Linked DNA regions of Lytechinus pictus. The protein of the gene in region 1 binds, or shares a complex with, the protein of each later gene. Links are inferred from orthologs where the notes say so. Each region holds a gene or a part of one and is shown on either strand. Other genes may lie near its edges.

Region 1 (7,614 bases):
AATTTTTAATATCTATAGTCTGCAGTTTAAATTAAACCAAATATCAAACACCGACAAAATTCGTTCAAATTTAAGAAAAACTTCAGAACAAAATTTTAGCATTTCACATAAATTCTTATCATTTGTTAAGTCATATGTAACTTTACAGTTTTATGAAACAGCCCCTTGTGGAATTATATCAACTTTGTTCCTACTTTATGACAACATGAGAATGAGATTGTGTTTAATTACAAATTATATTGAATGTGACTTGATTATCAAACTGCTCTTAAGATATTTTTTTTTAAATATTAAATTAACCTGCAAAAATTGATCAGAAAATAAACTTACTCAACATGATGTTTGATTTGGTTGGAATGTGAACTGCAGAAGACAAATATTTCCTGAACACCGTTGGTTGCAAGAAACTCCAGCGTGTAGTCAATGATTGGACAGTTCACCAGAGGAAGCAATGCCTTCAAACATAAACAAAATGAAAAGATGTGGTTAGAAACTGAGTTCCTACATGGATGGCAGGTAACTAGAGTTGTTATTTAATAGAATATGAATGTCAAGGTGTAATGATATCAAAGTCAACCATTCCCCATAGATACTGCCCTAAGTTTTCCGCTTTGCGGATTTTCCGCGGAAATCGCGGAAACCGGGGTAGAAAGCGGAAAACACAGTTTTGAAAAAAACAGTGAATTCGGTGAGAAATCTTAGTTTTAAAGTATAAAAAAATTGGTTCCAAAAGCATCCTAATTGATAATACAATCTATAAAATCCAGTCTAGGAATTGCACAAATTAAGCTCTGTGAAACCAGCCTACCGATCGCGATCGCACACCTTACCAGATTGGACCCACAATAAATTTATAAGTACAACACTACATACTACTTACGCAATGCAGCTCTCCCAGCAGCGTTTGTGCGCAATTCGTTCTGGAAATTTCCATGCATAGCGAAAGCAATATTCACGTGCACATCACGTTACTACGGTGATGGAACGCTTGGTCGCCCGTACTAGTAGCATGTATGCATCAACGAACGTAGAGGACAGCAGCAACACTGAAGTGTGTTGCTGCCCTCTACGTTCGTTGGTATGCATGTTCATTAATGCAATATGCACGGGGAGTAAGCCTACGTATAGTAGAAATAATTTTACTCCCCAGACGCCTCCAGGGGCCCGTCTCTCAACACCGTCATAAGTCTAACTTCTTGACTAAATCGGAGATAGTGAGCTACTTGTCTGCTAACCGTTTCACGAAGCCCTCTTTACCAAGATCGGGTACAACCTCACTAAATATTTATGACACCTCCGAACCTGTCATAACTTCTTTCTTAATGACGTATGGCATCACGTGGGTAGACTGACATGCAAAAGTGCCTAGAAATTTTCAAATTATAATCTTACGTAATCAATCATAGAGGTTGAAATTACATCACAAAACAAGTGGGATAATGCATTCAATGATAATTGTAATACAAAGAAACTATAAAAACTGTTGGTAATAACAAAACGCCACAGAACCATTCATTTTGAAATAGTAAAATGATTTAATCGATAAAGATTCTACCACGTCAGGCCATCCATAACTGAACTCGTATTAGTTGTTTTCAGACCCCTATTAACAGTTGGATAATTCTATCTCTAATTTATGCATATAATTTGTCAAATTTCGTATGTTTCGGTATCAATTATTAAAAAATGTTTCGTTAAACTATAATTTTGATGACTTTCGGAGTCATAAAAGACCGTATAATTATCATCATTTTACATAGAAAATCGTTATGGTTTACTTTCGTAAACTATTAAAATTTGATATCCCGGGGGTACCCATCTCAACATCCACAACAAGTGATTTTTTAGTCATGAAATGAATTATTCATAAATCAATTTTCACTGCTATTGAACATGTTGAATGGTCCAGTCTTCATGGCCTAAGTATGTATGATGCATAATTCACCTGTGCTATTATTTTGAAAAGATTTATTTCCCAATTCATCACAATATTTGCAATTTTGTCATAATTTTTCTTTTTGAAAATGATGCTATTTTGTGACTAAAAGTCTAAGGCTACGTCTCGTCTGCTCTTTTTACCGAGTATCGATATCAAGGTATTCTATAAGTTAGGAAGCCTTTCGAGAAACAGGTTTAGTAAGATTGGAACTAACTCCGTGGTTGGTGGATATAGATATGACTAAGTAACTTGTCCATGTGTTGAGAAACGGGCCCCAGGCTACCCACGGCCTAGACCAAAAGCTTCAGTCTGTCTCTGTTATGTTGGTTGTTCAGCTGAACTCCGTTGGCTTCACTCACCAAATACAGAGACCGAAGTTCTAGCGCGATCTGTACAGGGGACTCAATGGCCATATGTTTATGTGTATTAAGTTTGGATAAAACAGGGCAGTGAAGTTGTGCGACAGCCGAGGTAAGTCACTGTTTTTGTTCCTTTTAACTTGATTTTCCCCGTTTTTTGGCAATTAATGCCAAGAGGGAATATTAATTTGCATTTCGGTCGCGTTAATTTTCAAAAGTTTGATTCATTAAAGACAAAAATTGAAGAGCCCCGACGGGGGGATTTTGCATTGTAAGTCCCCTAATGGTGGCTGCACGATAGCGAGCCGTCTGTGTATGAGGAGAAATTAAAAAAATTAAAAAATGTTAAAAAACTCCTCGAAACAGACGGCTGCCAGCTGTCTACCCACGGCCCACCTGGGACGGGACGGCCCGAGCCCGGGGGACTGAAGCCGGCTACTACGTACGGGTACCGTACCGTATACGGTACCGCATCCGCACGCATCACACACCAGCTGCTTACAAATTCTACCAAAAATTATTGTATCTGTAGGCATAAGCAGATACTCACTCGCGGTTTTTCCAGGCTTACAGGAGAAAACCTAGTATTGAAGCTATCTGCAATAACAACTGCTTGGAGAACGTCCTCCTTTTCCAACGAATTGTCGGATTTCCCCTTTGCTTTTTTGCCAGACATGGTGATGAAGTCGCGTATGGACAGCTACACTACAGATTCGTGTAAGGACCAAGATTGTTGGCTATGTTCAGCTTAGATTTACGCGTACCGTATACCGTACACTGAACTAGAAATACATGTACGTATATACGTAAATACGTATCTCTAGTTCAGTGATACCGTATATTTCATGCAATATTTGATTGAATTTAGCAATTGTAATGTAGTCGACTTACTTAGTATGTAACCATACATAAGACAAATAATTCAGCTATTTTTTATATATATATATTTTTTGTAATAAGGACCATTAGATTAGAGCCGCATATACTAGTAGTCGATAGACTAAATGCCTAAAAAGTGCCAGTTGAGTTCAAAGAATCATATTTGTGACAAGTTTGTTTGAATCATTGAAGAAGCTAAATATATTTCACTAATCAATTTTTTTATATCGATCCAGCACCGCTCAATCATGAACAGGAATCATATAATTGTAACACTCTTTAAATGTAGCGTGGTAGGTATGGATGAGTGTTAGCTAGTGGTAAGACTTCAATAAGGGAATCCAACTCAAAGTATATAAAGTTCAGATGATATTTAATCACGCAGACATATATATATATAAATGAACAGTCGCTTGTTGAGAACTCGGGCACTCCCCTATCAAGGCCTCAAAGGGCAGGAGCGCAAGCTTATGGAGTAGTAGTCCGAAGACTAAGGAAAGAACCTAGAGAATATCAAGCACCTCTAATTTATACTCTGAGGGGAGGTGTTTACCCCTTTGGACTTATCTATTGTGACTGTACATGAGTAGACAACTAAATGAAATAGAACAAAGGACAGGTCTGGAAGATGTAGGGAACAAAGAGTAATGAATAAGGATTGAGACGAACTAATGAAGGGAGGAAGATTAATCTGAGGGAATCTATTGTTTGCCACTGATGGTGGTGTTTTCATTTGGTTAAAGTATTGTTATTATATGGTCATGTGGTCATGGTGGTTGTATCACTGCCTGAATATACCCAAGGTCTAGTGATATATAATTTAGACAACTATATAAGCTGCTACATTGGAATGAATATTTTACTCTTACATAATTATAGGCCTACCTTTATCCTCTTGAGCAGATTTTAAAAATCTATTTTAGGCTATGCGAGCACAAAGGGCGAGATAAATGCTCAATTTGATTCGATGGCCTAATCCCCCCCCCCCCCCCTTCCCTGTAGTTTGCCCCGCCAATATAGGGGGAAGTGCGACTGCTTTGGCCCCCTGGATCCACCTATATAACAATAATTAAAAAAAATTAATGATAATACTAACAATAATCTCTCCCTTTTTAACTCTACCATTTTACTTTATTAAAGGTCAAGTCCACCCCAGGAAAATGCTGACTTTAATAAGTAAAAAAAATCAAACTGGCATGCCGGATGTAAAATAAGAAAGTTTTGATATTTTAAAATTTCGCTTATTTTTCACAAAACACGGTGATATACATGCACAACTAGGTCAGTCAGTCGATGATGTCCATCACTCACTATTTCTTTTGTTTTTTATTGTTTGAATTATATAATATTTCATTTTTCATAGATTTGACAATAAGGACCAACTTAACTGAGGGAACCATATAGTATTAAACAATGCTAATTCCGCATTTTCAGGGAGGAATTAATCGTTTATTTTACATCCGATTTTGATAAAATTTTCAGTGTCATCAGTGGCGTACCGTGGGTCACAGCATTGGGGGGGGCACCAGCAAAAATTTTGAGTCACTCAGTGTGAGTATACTAACCTAATACATTTTAAGGACGGCGCAATGCCATTAAACGAATGTGTATCTCACTGATCAAATAATGCGAGCACAAGCTTAAAATTTTTGATATTCAGACCTAAAAATAGACATTAAAGGAGAATGAAACTCTTGGAGCAAGTTAGCTTTTGTGAAAGCAGAAAAATCAAAGAATAAGATCAACAAAAGTTTGAGTAAAATAGGACTAGCAATAGAAGAGTTATGAGCATTTAAATGTCGAGATCACTAATGCTATGGAGATCCTCCCATTGGCAATGCGAGCAATATCTATGATGTCACAGATGAACAACTCTCCCCTTTTGGACGCTGAAAATATACCCCAAAACATCTCCTTTTGCTTATTCTAATCATATGACAAACGATTCATCAATGATATAATGTTGTGAAACCTCTGTACTTGTCCTCTCATAAAGAGAACACCTCACCTTGTGATAGACTCTATAAAAGTGAGAATATAAGGGAAATAAGTACTAAAGTAATGAGGGAGTTGTACGTGTGTGACATCACAGATCTTATGGTTGCATTGCCAACAGGAAGGATCTACATGGCATTAGTGATCTCAATATTCAAATGCTCATAACTTTCTTATTATTCATTCAATCTTCCTCAAACTTTCAACAATATGTTTCTTTGATTTTTCTCTTTGATATGGATTCAGCTGGTTTCAAGGGTTTCATTCTCCTTTAAAGCTAATTTTTGTTATGATACGTACCTGTCTCGCTAAACAACAACGCGAGCGCAAAGCGCAAGCTGAACTTGTATACATTTACCCCATACAGGCATATTTTAAGGGCTATTTTTTAAGGAATCCATTAAGAGTATACATATCTCACCATAGTCATCTAATCGAGTGCCAAGCGCTTGCTGATTTTGCTAGAACTACATCTAAACACATGAATTACTTTTTATAGTCATTGTAATCATGATTCTCATACGCATCTCGCAAATCAAATATTGCGAATGCGAAGCGCGAGCTGAAAATTCAGGAAGTTCAGACCTGAAGAGGGACATTCTAATTAAGGCTCGTTTGTAGGAATTCACTAAGACCATACGCATTTCACTAACCAAATTATGCGAGCGCGAAGCGCGAGCTGAAATTTTTTTAATTGATATTCAGATCAGAAAAAGGGACATTAATTAAGGACTGATTTTAGGAATTCATGAAGATCAGACATACCTCACCAATCCACTATTGCAAACGTGAGCACGGAAGGAAATGTTTTATTTGAAGACCTTAGAGTGGGGCAATCGCTTTAGTTGTCATGAAAAAGAAGCATATGTCACTACATAAAACAATAATAACTCGAAGTGCGAGGAAATATGTTTGGAGTATATTGATTTGAAAACGGAAGGTTTTAGCACAACAGGATTATATATCTCGTTAAACAGACAATACGAGCACCAGGAACAATGAAGACATAGGCCCTGAGCAAATTGTGTTTACATAATAGTAATGATAAAATCATAAAGAACAATAATTTCTTCTTTCCCACTACGTTTCTCTTTCTTTTCTCCTTTTTTTTTTGGCCAGCCGATCGACCCCCCCCCCCCCCACCCCCATGCCCCCCGCCCGTAGTTACGCCACTGAGTGTTATGCTTGTTGGATTTTTCTCTTTTTATTCAAATCAACTTTTTGTTGGGGTGGACTTGTCCTTTAAAAACATAAAAATCAGCATTGCGTAATTTGACGGACAGAATAATGGCGTACTGGGTGGGGGTCTAAAAAGTCCCAAGCTAGGGAAGCGAGCTAGCAACAATATCAATCTAAAATGGAAATCTTATATTGTGACAAAGTTTGACATATTTTATATCGAGAAAATAATTTCATTTTTACCATTTTCTTCTTCAATTGCTTACTTGTCTCCTCATTTTAAGTCTTTGAAACCTTTTTTGGGGGCAACCATCCAAAAAATCGCCCCATTTTTATGCCAGTGCAAGTCCCGTTAGAGTCATATGGGGAAAATTTCTCCGATTGCCACTTTTATATAGCAAAGTTTTAGATATCTCCCAATCTGGATTTTTCATTATTATCATTAAGTTTATCTTCATAAATTCGGTGCATATGTGCCCACGGGGGGGGGGAGGGGGCTTCCTTATAAAATGGCCCACACATTTAATTTAAGTTTGCCCAGTCAAAAGGCTATATATACGCCTCTATCTCCCCCTGTCTCTCCCCCCCCCTCTCTCTCTCTCTCTCCCTCTCTCCTTCCATCTTTCCCTTTCTTCCAGGGTGTGCTTATGTACTATATCTTCCATATTCATTGGTCTCGATCCCTTCAAAATATGAAGACCACATACCATATCCATCATTCCGAATTCCATTACTCGATCTTGCATTGACGCTTTGCATACCTTCTAAGGGCTAAGACCTCGCCTGAATTTTATGATATTGAAAACACAAAAAGGATCGATTTGGCTTCAAGGTTGCATTTTTAATATAATACTTTCTGTCTACGCAAATAATTTTTACTCAGGCTATATATTTACCTCATAAGTCTCTCTTTTTGTCATGTTACTTAGAAAAGAACTGTGTTCAAAACAAATTTTCAATATGGATATATATAAAGACGAACTTGAATTTTAACTTGACACTCCATCTGAAGTCGATCACGATCACAACCTATCACTAAATAATCACTACCGTGTTATAGACAATGCAATCAGCATTCAGCTATCAATTGCTTGATCAAAAATCAATCAATTAATTATAAATCGATAAATTAATCAATAAACCAATAAATCAGTCTCAATCAAGTATTCAATCACCATTCAGCTATCAATCACTTAATCAACAATCTATCAGTCAATCAAACAACCAGTCACTTTTCAGCTAGTTGAACTCCAGTTTCAAATT
Region 2 (7,758 bases), on another chromosome or scaffold:
AATATTTATTAATGTAAACATAAAACAAAGTCAATCGAAAATAAATTCATGAATTTATATCATCAATAAACCGATAAATAAGTACAATACAATTAGTTGGTCAACTCATTGTTCACATCTAATGTTTATAATGGTCATTCACTATTTTATTTGCCTATTCGATTATTCTATTTATTAAAAATATCCCACAATATTCCCCGTACGACAAAGCGTATTGTGTTAGAATTATTTTTATTTTACCAGAATTCCTCATTATATTAGTACTTCAATCAATAATGGGAGAGAAGAGTATAGACCTACATTGGATATCATCCATTTGTTTTTGGGGTTGTTATTTTATTTGTCGTGATAAGCCTATACATGTGTCAGTGTTATACACCGTGGAAATGACGAATAGTATACAACTATATCGGTCAAATCACAAGTTTCGGTTTTTCCGCTTTTTCTAAAGGTATGCAGTGTATGAAGCATGCAGTGTGTAAAGAGAGGGTGTGGTCTTTTGGTTTCATGACATTTTCTCCGGCGACAATTATTGCTCCGATGGAAAATCTGCACATTAAGCCAAACAGGGGGGGGGGTTCTTCTTTTTATTTGGCAACCAGTGAACTTGACTATTTTCGCCATCATGAATATCATATTATTAAAGGAGAATGAAACTCTTGGAGCAAGTTAGCTTTTGTGAAAGCAGAAAAATCAAAGAATAAGATCAACAAAAGTGAAATAGGACTAGCAATAGAAGAGTTATGAGCATTTAAATGTCGAGATTACTAATGCTATGGAGATCCTCCCATTGGCAATGCGACCAAGATCTATGATGTCACAGATGAACAACTCTCCCCTTTTGGACACTGAAAATATACCCAAAAACATATCTTTTTGCTCATTCTAATCATATGACAAACGATTCATCAATGATATAATGTTGTGAAACCTCTGTTCTTGTCCTCTCATAAAGAGAACACCTCACCTTGTGATAGACTCTATAAAAGTGAGAATATAAGTGAAATAAGTACTAAAGTAATGAGGGAGTTGTACGTGTGTGACATCACAGATCTTGGTCGCATTGCCAATGGGAGGAACTACATGGCATTAGTGATCTCAATATTCAAATGCTCATAACTTTTTTATTATTCATTCAATCTTCCTCAAACTTTCAACAATATGTTTCTTTGATTTTTCTCTTTGATATGGATTCAGCTGGTTTCAAGGGTTTCATTCTCCTTTAACGGTTGTTTTCTTTGAAAAAAAAAGTAAATGAATAAAGTAAAATTCAAATATTTATTTCTAAATCTTCATATTATTCTTGACTCAAGACTCTATTGCATTTTTAATTCTAACCCTGTGCTCTATGAGATATTAAGACCCGAACAAATGTCGGGTCACCGGTCTTTTTTATACATCTGGTTGATATTTCTTTCCGGTCTCAATATTATACCATACACTTGCTTAGACATGTTAGAGATGGGGAGGGACCTTATAATTAGTGCCATGACCCCCCCCCCCCCCAACAAAAAAAAAGATAAATAAATAAAATGATTTTTTTTTTTAAATCATGACCAAGAAAAAAAGGGAAAGGAAGGAAAGGGAAAATGGTGAAATGTGATATATATTTTTTTGAATTTTATGTCAAATTCTATCACAAAATTTAATTTTTTGGGATATAAATTAGGACAAAATAATTTACTCACTCGCTTCGGTCGAATGCAGCCTTTTAGAACGTTTGCCCAATACCGTTGGTAAATGTATCATTTTTTCATTCACTTTTATTGATATATGGTTTTCCGGTATTCAAGAACAAAATGCTACTTGAGATAATTTCATTCTTATTTAGAATTCAATGAATTTATCCGACTAAAGATAATTTTTGTTGGGAGCAGAAGGGGATATTGACTAATAGTATACTACTGCTACTACTACTACTACTACTTCTACCACCACTACTACTACTACTACTACTACTACTACTACTACTACTACTACTACTACTACTACTACTCCTAGTACTCCTGCTACTACTATTACTACTACTACTACTACTACTACTATACTACTACTACTACTACTACTATATTACTACTACTACTCCTAGTACTCCTGCTACTACTATTACTACTACTACTACTACTATACTACTACTACTACTACTACTGATACTACTACCACTACTACTACTACTACTACTACTACTACTACAACAACTAATAATAATTCTAATAATAATGATATTAATAATGATAATAATAATACTTCTACTACTACTGATAATTTATTTATACACTTCACATTTCTTCTTTTTCTCATTCTCCTCCTCCTCCTCTTCTTCTTCTTCTTCTTCTTCAAAGCGACTTAAATGTGACGGCATATTTTTTTCTTATTCGAATCACCGGGGGTTTTATACAATTACACGTCTCTCATTTTAGAAAGTCCTCTCCCCTCTGTTTTTCCTTTTCTCATTTTTTTCCTTTTTCTTCTCTTTCCCATTTTCACTCCTTGGAAAGTCATTGTGTGGGATGCCCCCTGCCCCTACCCCATATATGACGTCGCTCCTGAGTGTAACAAAGTAAAATAAAAGTTTCTGTACATCATGATGACATTCTCAACATCTCAATTTCTAAATTCACACTTCTCTCTCCCCCAAATCAAGATGTTATAATGGAAAAGAAACTAAAATCGATGCCTTCGCTATTTTATTGATTTCTAGGTGGTAATATAAAGCGACCTTGCATGAGCATAACCAATTCTGAAAGTAAATGATAAACATATAAAATGATATTTACGTTGTGATTGTGAGTGTGTGGGTGTGTGTGTGTATGTATTTTTGTTTGTAGTGCGTTGGGAAGGGGCACGAAACCTCACATGTTCATGCAGTATGTTTAGATTTACAATAATATTATTACAACATCCAGTAAGATATCGTTTGGCAAACCTCAAAATGCATTTTTTGTTCAAAGGATAAAAGAATCTAATGAATGATAACACGATTGATCAATCTCTATCCATTCAAATAATTCGTCCAATCGCAAAATCTTCAAATGGAATCAGTATTTTCGATGTAATAACATTTAATCTTCTCATAAAGACATTTTTCATAAAGCTTTAAAATGTATTGTTACCACTATATTGCTTTTGAATTCAATCAACTTTCTTACCAAAACAATTGTTACACGTTATTCTACTCATAACAATATTTAAAGAACTTATTTATTTTCTTGCTGCGCACAAGCTTATTATTAAGTATAATATTGAAAAGGCCTATAATAACTCCTCATGCTAAAGCTGAAATATTAATTTTATAGAATTCTTGAAGTGGTATTATGGAATTGGCTCTGATAACACAATCATTCCCGTAGAGAATGTGCTCGTTCAATCATTATGATACTTAACCCAGTAGCAGCAGCAACAGCAATAGTAGTAGTAGTAGTAGTATAGTAGTAGTAGTAGTAGTAGTAGTAGTAGAAGTCTAGGTAGTAGTAGTAGTAGTAGTAGAAGTAGTAGTAGTAGTAGTAGTAGTAGTAGTAGTATAGGTAGTAGTAGTAGTAGAAGTAGTAGTAGTAGTAGTAGTAGTAGTAGTAGTAGTAGTAGTAGTAGTAGTAGTAGTAGTAGTAGTAGTAGTAGTAGTAGTAGTACTAGTAGTAGTTAGTAGTAGTCTACTACTACTACTACTACTACTACTACTACTACCTATACTACTACTACTACTACTACTACTACTACTACTACTACTACTATAGTAGTAGTAGTAGTAGTAGTAGTATATAATCGGTAGTAGATAGGTATATACGCATCAATAATAGTGAGGTTTTTAGTTGAATATGGCAGAATATTTAACAGTATGGAGTAGGCCTATCTTATATAGTTTTTTCCTTTTATTTCTTTTTCTACATTTCTTTTTTTTTTAAAGAAACAACGACATATCATTCTAACATATTTCATTATTTATAGGTAAACAATGTACGTGATTTTATACTTACCTTTACTGAAGTCAGAAAGTCTTGGAACACATGCATACTCGGAAATAAAATAATTCCTACTCATAGTACATGGGATTCTTCTATCGTACACCCGTGTGACTCAAAACATGAAGCTCATGTGACGCTTAATTCATATATAGAGGCATTATACGACGTAATTCGCGTCCTCGTTTATTTCAATGCAGGAGCACTTTGTAAAAGAGCCCTTTTCTTATTCATGTCGGGATCATGTTCAACAAGCCTTTTCTATTCTTCTCATTCGCATTCACCACAGAACAAACACTTCTGTGTCAATTTACTACTCTGTTGAATAAAACGATCAATAGTTTAACCTACCTTATATCTCCTCTTGGGTTTTCCATTTCTTGTTTCATTTTCCGCCATAAAATGTTCAGGAATTCAAAAACGAAGTTAAATGCAAGAGACTTTCAAGATACTTGAGAGTAGTTTGGAATCATAGTAAGATGTAGATATATTGATATTACACCCTACACCAAGCAAGTCTTTTATTTTCACATAGGCCAACAGTATATAGTGGAAGCAAAAAGTAACTTGGGAGACTACATTCAATAATAGGGGTATAAAAGGTATCTCGTGCTAAGTTGAAATCTTCTGTAAATAAATGTGAAAATATCAAGTTACTATTTTACATATCAATTTATATTTTCAAAAATAATTAAGAAAGAGTAGTTCGAATCTTATTTTTTAGAACTATGTTGAGTAAAATACTCAAAAATCTCAAGTTTCCTTTGCAAAATATGTTGATCAACTTCTACCATCTGTTTTGGAATGAATTTGTCCAAAAGGCCATCGAGACGAAGAAGCCGAAGTCGAAGAGCCCCACTACATTTCCACCTTCTCGGGACTTTGACTTTGCAGTTTGTAAGTTATTTTTTCAACCAATTTAAATTAATATAATGTTTGTCGTCATCCGTTATTACCTATCTGTTTATGGGGAATTAATTTTGTTTGTTGCCGGCATTTGCATGTCCATATGTTAGCACAGTCCCACACGCTTTCATTCATGTCTTTTTTTTGTCACAGATGCCAACAGAGCCAGGGTTAAATTCATTGGCGACATGTAATGAAATGTGCACAGAACAGCTCAGCCATATCCCCGTCCATTAAGTCGTCTAAGTACAAATATCAAGAATTAAGGGAATAAAGGACTTTTGATGCTTGAAGTTGAACAATTGTTCTACAGCTTTTGTTATAAATCTTGCCTCGGATCGCATAAATCAAATGCCATGATTCCTGAGTGAGGAGTTCATTTTTTATAATAGATTTTATTATATCTAGAAAAAAAAATAGATAGATCTAGTTACCCGACGCACGCGTCTGTAACGTTGGCGAAGAACAATAGGAAACAAGATGGCGGCGTAAACATCGGGCAAGTCTCTTCCGTCTTTACACAATATTTCTCTCATTTTTTTGATGAATTCTTGTTCAAAAATAACAACGAGAGCGTAGAAATGTCGGAAATGAAGTTTTATCCCATGTACATGATTTAGGGCTAGATCTATTAGAAAGAAAGTAGAAATCTCGGGGGCAAAAGTTTCAGGTTTTTTGGTGGTACACACGAAAGTATACCTAGCCAGCCCTGGCTTCATATGAGAGTGACCTTACGTTAGTAAATGATTTTCACTCTCTTTGAAGCCGCCTGGCTAGCTCTGGGCACGAAATCAAATATTTCTAGATCTAAATGTTTCTATAGGCCTAGATCTATAATGAAAATGTTGTAACGGGGGTTGGTTATTAGATGAAATGGTAGTAAGCCAATCTCCACTTACCGACTTTATGCGTGTAGAGACATCCGACAGACAATCCTCCAATATATTTGAAGTGTTCCAATTTATTGCATGATCCCAATATGTGTATGTATACAGTATATAATATATTATTCACAAAATCACACAGATATTATCACAAAACTAACTAGGCTAGCACAAGCAGTATTTTTTATTTTGCTAAATTCTCTTGGTGAAATGACAGAGAAAAAGGGTAGTACGAAAACTTGAATATGATATGAGCCTAGGTGGAAGATACAATGGATGAAGTTTGCTTCAAGTGATATGATGGAAATCCACAAAAGTATTAAGTAATTTGACGACGTTCTCCAAACACGTGTTTACTATAGTAGAAAAATTTGAGAAGTGTGTTAAAAAAGAAAGTGGTAGTTTTCATCCCAAATGTGTTGGAGGATGTAAACAAAGAGAGGGGAGAGAAGGAACCACCAATTCAGAGAATTTATAGTGAGTCACAGGTGAGTGTGCTGTGCGAGGTTCATTATTGACCACTTGTTGGCATGTTTATTGCTAAGGAGTGGAAGTAACTGGTATCCAAGGGTAATGTCCTTTCGAAGATGATGAGTAATAGAAGGCAAAGTTGAGAAATGAAGAAGGATGAAATTTGGAAAATACTACAATGTATTTCATATCCAGTCCACATAACATTTAGTTATTTAACTATTATACCCAATATTTGTAATGCGCTTATCCCAAATGGCCCAAGTGCTTACAATTTCAGTTTACCTAATTCATACAAAAACAAGTACAGAATGCCATAAGCCTAACATTACATATAAAATGAAGGAAGTTGTTTAGTCCTAGAACAGAAACGTTTTTAGAGACTTCTTAAATGATTCAACTTTTGGGGATTGTCTTAATGTGAGAGGGTGTTTGTTCCATTCCATTTAATGGACTAGAACACTCGGTGACAAACTTTTAAGAAATTCACCAAAACCTAAAAGCAAAAGAGGCTTTAACATGTTTAAAATGAATTTCAGTTAATAAAATCAATAATGAAACAAATTTCTTTTCGTTTTATTTTTGAACAACAGGAATGGCTGAAGTAGCCAAAGCCGCAGCGCACCCCTCCACAACGAGCGAAGGGAAGAAGGTCAAGGAGGGTGTGACACCAACTCAAGATGGAGGTGATGCTGCAGGGGGCGAGGGAGGTGAAAAGAAGTTATCTAAGAAGGAGAGGAAGATGCTGAAACAGAAGCAGCTTGCGGAGCAGCAGAAAGAAAAAGATCTGGCTCAGGCCCCTGCAAAGAGCAAGGCAGAATTAAAGGCTGAGAGGAGGGCTAAGCAGGTCAGTTGTGGTAAAATAAAGCTGTTGGGTGAGAAGAATTGATGTCGTTTAGTTTGAAAAGCCTACTGAAGAAGTTAAAAATGTTTCGGAAGATGTATCACAAGACGGGCTACATCTATTGCAGAGTTGGTTTTACAGCTTTCATTTACAGGTAGATTATCTATTTTGTTGTTGTTTTATGGTGTATTCTTGAAAGTTATTCGCTTCCATCTTTAAACAGCAAATACCTCATGGACAAAAAAGTTCACTCCAACGTTGACTATTTGCCTGTTAATTTGTTATTCAAATTTTTTTTTTTCAGATCTTTTTGTTTACTGTTATGCATTGCCTCCTCTTACCAGGGTAGTCGTCAGAGACCTTGTCAAGTCCTTCTATTCATTTTAGTTCTTATAGTAAAATATAGACCATTTGATTTATAATCAACTTTACATTTGGCTCATGGAATTGACATGATCTAATTATTTTTGGGGTATGTAGGTTAACAGTTGGAGGTCATATCATAGGTTATTTATTATATGTACAAGTACCAGAAAATTACTTGTCTTTGAAATGTTTGACTAATTAAATTGTCTCATGCAATAGAGAGGACGATTATCTAAGTAGTTTTTAGGTCACATGGACAAAGTTTGAAGGTCACAGAGGTCATCTAAAATATAATTGCCTTTTCTCTAAATAGATAAGAAATGCGATCTAA

The links. The genes of interacting proteins can lie anywhere in the genome.
Region 2: the proteins of translation initiation factor eIF2B subunit epsilon-like (region 1) and translation initiation factor eIF2B subunit delta-like are in contact, whole or in part, in a cryo-EM structure (PDB 7D46), measured with the Homo sapiens proteins. The link is inferred for Lytechinus pictus from reciprocal best matches to the Homo sapiens genes EIF2B5 and EIF2B4. Residues at the interface, in NP_003898.2 of Homo sapiens: Arg163, Lys294, Arg339, His340, Glu357; in NP_001029288.1 of Homo sapiens: Arg357, Tyr393, Pro396, Glu397, Lys466, Arg467, Glu469.

Annotation. Positions count from the first base shown.
Region 1 is NC_087249.1:3,462,141-3,469,754, reverse strand, and holds the start of translation initiation factor eIF2B subunit epsilon-like, read right to left. Parts: upstream 3,065-7,614; 5' UTR 2,975-3,064; coding exon 2,849-2,974; intron 456-2,848; coding exon 331-455; intron 1-330. UniProt on the Homo sapiens protein: Acts as a component of the translation initiation factor 2B (eIF2B) complex, which catalyzes the exchange of GDP for GTP on eukaryotic initiation factor 2 (eIF2) gamma subunit.
Region 2 is NC_087245.1:39,272,164-39,279,921, reverse strand, and holds the start of translation initiation factor eIF2B subunit delta-like, read left to right. Parts: upstream 1-4,733; 5' UTR 4,734-4,853; intron 4,854-6,810; 5' UTR 6,811-6,812; coding exon 6,813-7,064; intron 7,065-7,758. UniProt on the Homo sapiens protein: Acts as a component of the translation initiation factor 2B (eIF2B) complex, which catalyzes the exchange of GDP for GTP on eukaryotic initiation factor 2 (eIF2) gamma subunit.